2 linked regions of the Drosophila melanogaster genome follow. Changing the gene in region 2 together with the main gene of any one other region gives a genetic interaction. Each region holds a gene or a part of one and is shown on either strand. Other genes may lie near its edges.

Evidence for each region. A genetic interaction does not mean that the proteins touch.
Region 1: of Moe (region 2) and Rok, changing one suppresses a phenotype caused by changing the other (phenotypic suppression), as found in Drosophila melanogaster (one study listed by BioGRID).

The regions. Positions count from the first base shown.
Region 1 is NC_004354.4:16,635,447-16,639,046, reverse strand, and holds the start of Rok (Rho kinase), read left to right. Parts: upstream 1-1,632; 5' UTR 1,633-2,619; intron 2,620-2,685; 5' UTR 2,686-2,763; coding exon 2,764-2,825; intron 2,826-3,379; exon of another isoform or gene 3,380-3,472; coding exon of another isoform or gene 3,473-3,507; intron 3,508-3,600. Other genes in the region: RpS19a (ribosomal protein S19a), read right to left, coding at 242-641, 744-814.
Region 2 is NC_004354.4:8,876,459-8,880,414, forward strand, and holds the start of Moe (moesin), read right to left. Parts: upstream 2,268-3,956; 5' UTR 2,080-2,267; coding exon 2,011-2,079; intron 704-2,010; exon of another isoform or gene 598-703; coding exon of another isoform or gene 556-597; intron 295-555; coding exon 115-294; intron 1-114. UniProt on the Drosophila melanogaster protein: Involved in connections of major cytoskeletal structures to the plasma membrane. Together with wgn, involved in control of axon targeting of R8 and R2-R5 photoreceptors, independent of egr.

The DNA.
Region 1 (3,600 bases), 7.8 Mb from region 2:
TTACTAATATGAGCAGCATCCTGATAAATCTACCACTTTTTTACATTGCCAAGAGGAGCTATTCTATTCCCCTGTTTACAGACCGCATAAAAAATGTTTCTAGCATTCGAAGAACGCATGTTTCGTAGACTTTTACAAATTGTGGTTGGTTTTATTTTCTCATCTCTCTCGTGCAAACAAAAAGCGCTTACAATAGAAGTCTAAAAATGCGTTTTTTAGAATTCGAAGGGGCGCCGTGTGATTACTTGGAAATAACAATGGGCCCGGTCTGCTTGGCGGCATCGCGCTGCTTGAACACGATCTGGTTAGCAATACGGTCCAGATCACGCTGTCCAATGGAGCTCAGTTTGCGACCACCGTCCGGGTGCTTCTCGACCAAACGGGCGTGCTCCAAGGCCTGCAGAGCCTTGCGGGCAGCACCGTCGGCGGCGCGGCAGAAGTGCGAGGGGTGGACACCGTTGCGCTTGCGTCCGCCGTAGATCTTGGTGATCGAACCGACTCCAGCGGGACTGCGGTGGTACAGATGGCGCAGGATCGAGGCGCAACGCACATAGAACCAGTCGGGATCGTAGGGCGCCAGCTCCTTGAATTTGGCGGTCTTGACGATGTCCATCTGGTCGGGCACCTTCAACTTGCCAGTCCTATTTGGTTTTTTTCGTGTTTTTTTTTTTTTTTTTGGGGGGGGATAAACAAATGGATTGTGAGGTTATGTGGTGGAAATATACTTGATGTTCAGTACTCACTTCTTCAAGAAGACGGCGACCGCCTTGGTAACCGCGTGCTGGTCAATATCCTTCACTGTGACGCCTGGCATCTGCGGGCAGAACGGGAAAAACAAATGGGGAATCTATTACAATGCTGCCAAAAACACGTTGTCGCGATTTCCACGATTCTCTCACAGACACACTCTTTCTCTCTCTCTCTCTCCCTCGCACACACACATGCACGGGCACAACAAAAAATTGCCAGCCGAAGTTTTAACCCGAAAAAAGCTGTCCTTTCGTGTTTACGGCCGGCCCATTGTGTCATTTGCCACTTGGCGTGGGCTCTTTCATTGAATTTCACCCATTCAAAACATAAAAAAAAAGATAATTCACTTGAAAAGAATTCGTGCACAACCTTTCTCGTTAAAGTCAACCGGAAAAAAGAACAAGGCGCGTGAAGTTGGCTGCGGTTAATAGTGCTGGGCCTGCCACCAGCAATAGTATCGATTAATCGAATGCCGGCGCGGCGAACTATCGAAGATTCGGTTAATGATACTCTAACACGTATGTGTTCAATTTATAGTTATTTTTAAAAATATTTAAATTAATGAGCACACCAAGATTATATTATATATTACTTGGCATTTGAAGACCTTGTCTAAACATGCATTTTCGTATTAGTATATTTTCAATGTGGGCAAAGAATGCGTAGTACAATTCATATTTTGCTGTATCACTTTATTCATAAATAACTGCTTTTTATTTTGTTAGCAACCGATTTACATAACTATTCATGAAGCTAGTTTCTGAGTCTATCGAATAACAAGCGGCCCATCGATGACGCAGACAACCGATATTGCCGCAGCACCATCGCCATTTGGAGCGCCACCTGTTGGCCCTGGTATATTCTGGTATTTTCATCGGCGCCTAGTGACTTCGATACTTCAACTTCGATATGTAAACACAATTGCCATCTCTACCAGCACCGAGCCGAAATAAAATAAGTGCAACGCGCAGCGTCTAATTGAAACCAAATTGATCTATTTGGCCGCGGCCGAAACTGGACATTCGCAATTTGGGCGGTCAGCCGCCCCCGTCCCGTCCCGCCCCCCCGTGCGTTTCCCCCGCTGCCGACGGACAGTACGTCGGTGTGACGCACATCGGTGTGTGCGCGCGTGTGTGTGTGTCTGTGAAGCGCCTTGTTATTGTTGTTGTAGCGCTTGCTACGTTCGCCGTTCGCAGTGCACTGGTGTGCGTGCGCTCGTGTAAGTGTGTGTGCACAGAGGTATCGTTGGAATTAACAAAAAAATAGAAGAAGGAAAAAGCTACTTGATTGGGGCACACAAAAACCAACAACTCAAAAGGCCGAGAAACAAAAGCCCACCTTCAACACCACCAATCCGCCGCATTCGACACATTTTGGCCAGGTTTTTGGCCACAAGTGTTGACACAACTGTTGCATGCCAAGCGGACTGCGGACAATAATCCCCGTTCCCTTGTTTACCCAACAATCCATCGTGGTCAACGTGATCATCCTGGTCATTACGATCCCATTTGCACAGGAAGTAAACTAGATTGATAGCATTTTCCGGGAATCGATAGCACACCTGCCTGCCGTGTGGGAAACGCACCTGGGAACGCCCGGGTGCTCGGCTGCGTCCGCATGTGGCGTTGGCGGCACTCCACCAAAAGAAGCCAGCGCCAAGTGCCCAATCCCCATACCCATACCCATTCCCATTCCCATCCCCATCCGTATTCGATTGGCGTTCAGTGGCAGCAGTTAGCCAGAAATCCAACGAAACACTCGTGACCTCATCGCCAGCAAACAGCAAACAACTAGCGCTTGACGCGTGCCTCCTCTCCTCATTACTATTAGCATTCCCAGCATAGACAGACGTCCAACAACTCCTGGCAGGTAAATGTACAATATAAATATGTGTACCCCGAAGAGAACTCTGTTAAACCCTTGCTTCGCTTTCAGTTGCAGCACAGGAGCAGCAGTTGACCAACAGGAAGCAGCAGCTGGAGCAGCAGTATCAGCTTGTTATCTTGCATTTGCATGCCAGCTGGACGAGAAACTGTGACCAAGCAGCGCAGCATGGATGTGGAACGAAGGCGCCGGTGAGTGCACGAGATGGCGGCCCAAAAGCGACTGCTCCACTCAATTAATTGTCACCTGAATGGCAGCATCAGCAGCAGCAGCAGCAGCAATAGCAATAGTAGAAGTCGAAGTAGAAGTAGAAGTGGCAGTAGCCATCGCACAGATACGTGCGATTTGTACAGACAGATTTGTGATTTGTTCAACTGACCAAGCCAAGCAGGCAGCTAAGCAGCTAACCAGCTAACCACCTAACCAGCCAACTAGCCAGCTAGCACAATTCAGCGCAAGCCAAACGGGCCTGGCCAAAACAAATCAAAAAGTAATACACCGCTGGCAAACACCTTCCATATCTCATGTTCAAAGCGACAGCGCGGCAATCAAATTGACAAGCGAGTGAACAAAACGGGGGGCGACTTTATAATAAATTTGCCATTTTCGCATTAAAATTTGTAACCAAACCAAAAAGAAAAAAAACCAAAACGAAAACGAAAAGCGAACTAAAACGAACGCACAGTGGCTGATGCCGCCGTTTGTCAGTTGCAGGCGTCGCGTTGCATCGGCTGCATCGTTTGCATCGTTTTGGGCCAAAAAGGTAGAATAGATAGCCAGCACCACGCCGGTTTCTTCCATTGGACAGTAGACGGTATAGGGCATGGGGACATGGCTAATGCCCGCCGCCCTCCATTCGTGCGAGCCGGAACGGTACGTTGTTCTCATCTCCACGCTCCTAGCATTCAGCATTCAGCATCCAGCTCTCAGCTACCAGTTGTCGTCCTGGTTCGCTTGCATTCCAAA
Region 2 (3,956 bases):
CATTACATTTATAAATATTATGATGTACATGCAATCTTAGTAAATAATTTAAATTTATATTCTTTTGAACTATAAACTTCAAACTTTATTTGTATGAAATTTATAGTCGCCTACCTTTTTGTACAGCTTGATCCATGTGGAGTCGCCCTTGGAGTCGGTGTACTGGAGTCCAAAGAACCAAACCTCTCGCAGGCCGATCGTCTTCACCACCTGGTCAAACAATTGCTTGCCCGTCGTCGTCGACTGAATGGCGAACTCCAGTTCCGCGTCCATTGTCGTGACGCGCACATTTAGCTGAAATTAGTAAGGGATGTCGTGATATTAAAAAAATATCGTATTAAATGATTAAAATAACGCAAAAATATATATATATATATATATATAAAAGAACAAAGCATTGCCTTTAGAAGGCAAACTAAAAACGAATGAATCAAACAGAATGTTTTATTAATTAAATGTAACTTATTTGTTTCTTTTGCTGCATTTCTTAAGTTAAAAGTGCCATCATCCATGACATGAAAAGCTAACTAGATCAAACTAACTGGGCATGCTCACAAGCCAAATAGAAAAAAAAAAGAGTAAAAAATTGACACCCATCGATGAAGGTGGCGTGCAGAGGAGAATCCCCCACGATTTGTTTAGGGGTCGATGGATTAACGGGATGTGAGCAGGGCACGTGCCAAGAGCTCCCGTTTCGCTTTGGAGGATTGGATTCGATTGCCACGACTTGCATAAGTCGGGCTTTCGACTTAAACGCGCGCACACACACGTTTCAAATGGGTGAAAAATGCTTGAAAAAATGGGGGGAAATGGGGGAAAATGGAGGGCAAAATGGAAAGAGGGAAAATGAAAGCGGGCCGCAGTGAAAAATCACGCTTGGAAAACAGCAAAGCAAAAATCAATCAGGCATGACAATAGCAACAAGCTGGAAATGACCAGGCAGCTCTAGATAGTGGAAATAAGTGGGGGGAAAACACAGGGTGTGGGGTGTGCGTGTGTGTGTGTGTGTGTGTGTATGGGAATATAGACCGGATGGCCAGCGAGTGGTAATCGGTGGTTATACAAGAGAGAGATAGAAAGAGAGAGCTCAGCCGCTATCTATCCCACTGCGCGTGCCACTTGACCAACTTGCAATGTGAAATGGCGGAAAAGCTAGGGAAATTCCACCCACATCGCCACCCAACGTCGGACACACAGCACATGCACATGTCAACCTGTACTAACTACACTACATACCATTGCGCAATCGCCACATTTGGATCAAAGTAAATGCGATCGTAGATCAAAATTGGGGTTAATATGCAGCGCAGACAATAGAGTATATATAACTAACAATTCAGTTCGCTTTTTACAACATGGCCAACAAATGTAAGTCTTACATTAAAAACCATTCGTTTAAAATATTCCTTTACTTTATTGAAATATACAAAGGAATTTTGCTAAATACCTAAATCAGCTACAAATTTTTTTAAACTATTTTATTTCCTATCTGTTAAGATTGATTGAACCAATTTCAGTTTTAAAGGCCCTTTGAAAATCCGCTGGTTTTTGTTACCATTTTCTGGGCATGGGAAAAAACAATGTGTGGTAGACCCAACAAATTAAAATTTTTTAACTTCATCATTTTGTTTGGCTCGGTTTTGCTTTTCAGTCCGAGGGCTCATTGTTTTGTTTTCGCTTTCGGCTGCTGAATGCAAATCAAACGTGACACAATGTTAGGAAATTGAAAACGTTTTTCATTTCAATCCAATTAACGTTTTTGGGTTAATGCAACCACCGTGGTTTCTGCTTTGTTTTTTTCTCCCCCTGGCCGCTGAGAATGAAAAACACAACAGCTATTTGCAACGGAAGTTGGAGCATAATAACCAGTTTTTAAAAAAGAAAAAAAAATGGTTTTTGACTTGAAACCACAAAAGTGCAGCACATGAAAAAAAAAAAAAAGAAAAGGGGGATGCGCTTTTCCAGCTTAGCAGGAAAAACGTGGAAAATAGTGAGCAGTGTGGTCCGTACCGTTTTCCGTTTGACGCTGACTCCGCCGTAACGCGGCAAACGGACGCGGCTGTCGGAGACGACGACCATTTTGGGCACCGAAAACGGATTGCGCAGTAGCTTTTGAATTATTACGCCTTTTCAATGCAAATCTCCGTCTGGGAAATATATATATATTCTTGAGCAGCCACAAGCTACGCGGGAAAACCAACCGACCAACGCGACACGATGGTTAAAAGCGGAAAAGCGACGATTCGATTCTGTTGTCCAGCGGCAACTGAGGAAAATGGAAAAGTCACGGCACGTTTTTAAGTCGCCAAATGGGGAAGACAAGCGCAAAAGGCAAAAGGAAAATAAATGCTAGAAGAGAAGAAAAACAAAAAACAACACTGGGAAAGCGGCGGCGGCGGCAGAACGCAAAAGAAACGCTAAGGGAACACACAACACAACACAAAATGAACTTAATTTCTGCCCAAGAAAATGGGAAAATTTTTATCCCAGTCATTCGTTGTCAAGTTAATATAAATTGCATGTTAATTATGCATCTAAAAGTGGACAGCCGCAACCATAAAGAAAAGAACTGCTGACCATAGAGGTCAAATGGGTTTTCCAGAACGAGAGAAGTATGTGAATGCAATGGGGGTCAAGTAAATAGTGCAATATGGTAAAATATATTTAAAAAATATATATATAAATCAAAACACAACCAATTCTCTAAATGAATTATTGATTGAATTAGCTGTATAGTTAGCTAATTTTTAGTTTGAACACTAGTCATTTGGCCAGCGCTGTGCGCCGAAGAGCACGAGAGAGCGCCGTAGAAACGCAGCCCCAAGGTAGGCAAACAAATCAGCGTCAATCATACGACGCGTTGGCTGTCAATTCTGTTTTATTGATGCCGCTTTTGGGCCTCAAATAGCAATTAAACCCCTCCCCCCTCCCCACTCCGCACTCACATATCAAGCTATTCAAACAGACCAATAAACATCTAGTTATGGATGAGAAAAACTATAGCGAAAAAGGGAAAGTTATGGAGAAACCATTCAAGCACGATGTGCATCGACTACTGCATTGGAACAGAGAAATTTCCCTAAAAGGCAAACGACTTCTTAAAGCTTTGTGCAAAAATCACCTTTCAATCATCCAAATTGTATTATAAAATCACTTCAAATCACGTGTTTGATTGTCATGATGAACTCATAACAAATACATCATTCATTAACAATCAAGTTGAGGCAAAAATGTCATTAGACCATCGCTGGGTGAGATAAGAACTTTTCCGGTTGCCAAAAAAAAAAAAAAAGAAATCACAACATGTCAAAAAGAAATTGGCAAATGCTTTGGTATGAAATAATGATCTACTCATGTGTTCATATCAATGACGTCGTCTTCTAATCCAATTTTTCGCCGTCTGCGTATCTGATGAAATGATGAAATTTTTTTTGGCAAATGTCCAAGAATCAAATACAATTACCAACGTCAACAGTTGGGCCAATATGACGTCTTCGCCTGGCCATCCCCATTCCCCCCCAGAAGAAGTTCTATTAAAAGATGCGATGCGATCCCAACACTCCACAATTGACGACAATTGTAGCTGAAGTGCTCTCTTGATAAGAACACAATTTCCGATAGCTGATAGCTGACAAACTTTTCGTTGTGATTTAATATAACTAATCTTTAATAATTTACTAGGCGCTAGTGCAAAACATTTGTTTTATCAGATTCGTTTGTGGTTTCATTCCAGTGATATATGGTTACCATTATAATGGAATATTTCGAACTTATTATAATACTGTCTAATCAGTACTAATTATTTATTATTTTATAGTTATTGGTTAACTTACCGCTTTTGGAGACATTTTGTTGTTTCGTGTCTTGTCGTACTTATCGAAACGAAATGTTTTCTTTCCAGGATATTATCGTCTGAACTCTTTATTGTTTTTGTGCTGCAATCTGCAAAATATAAG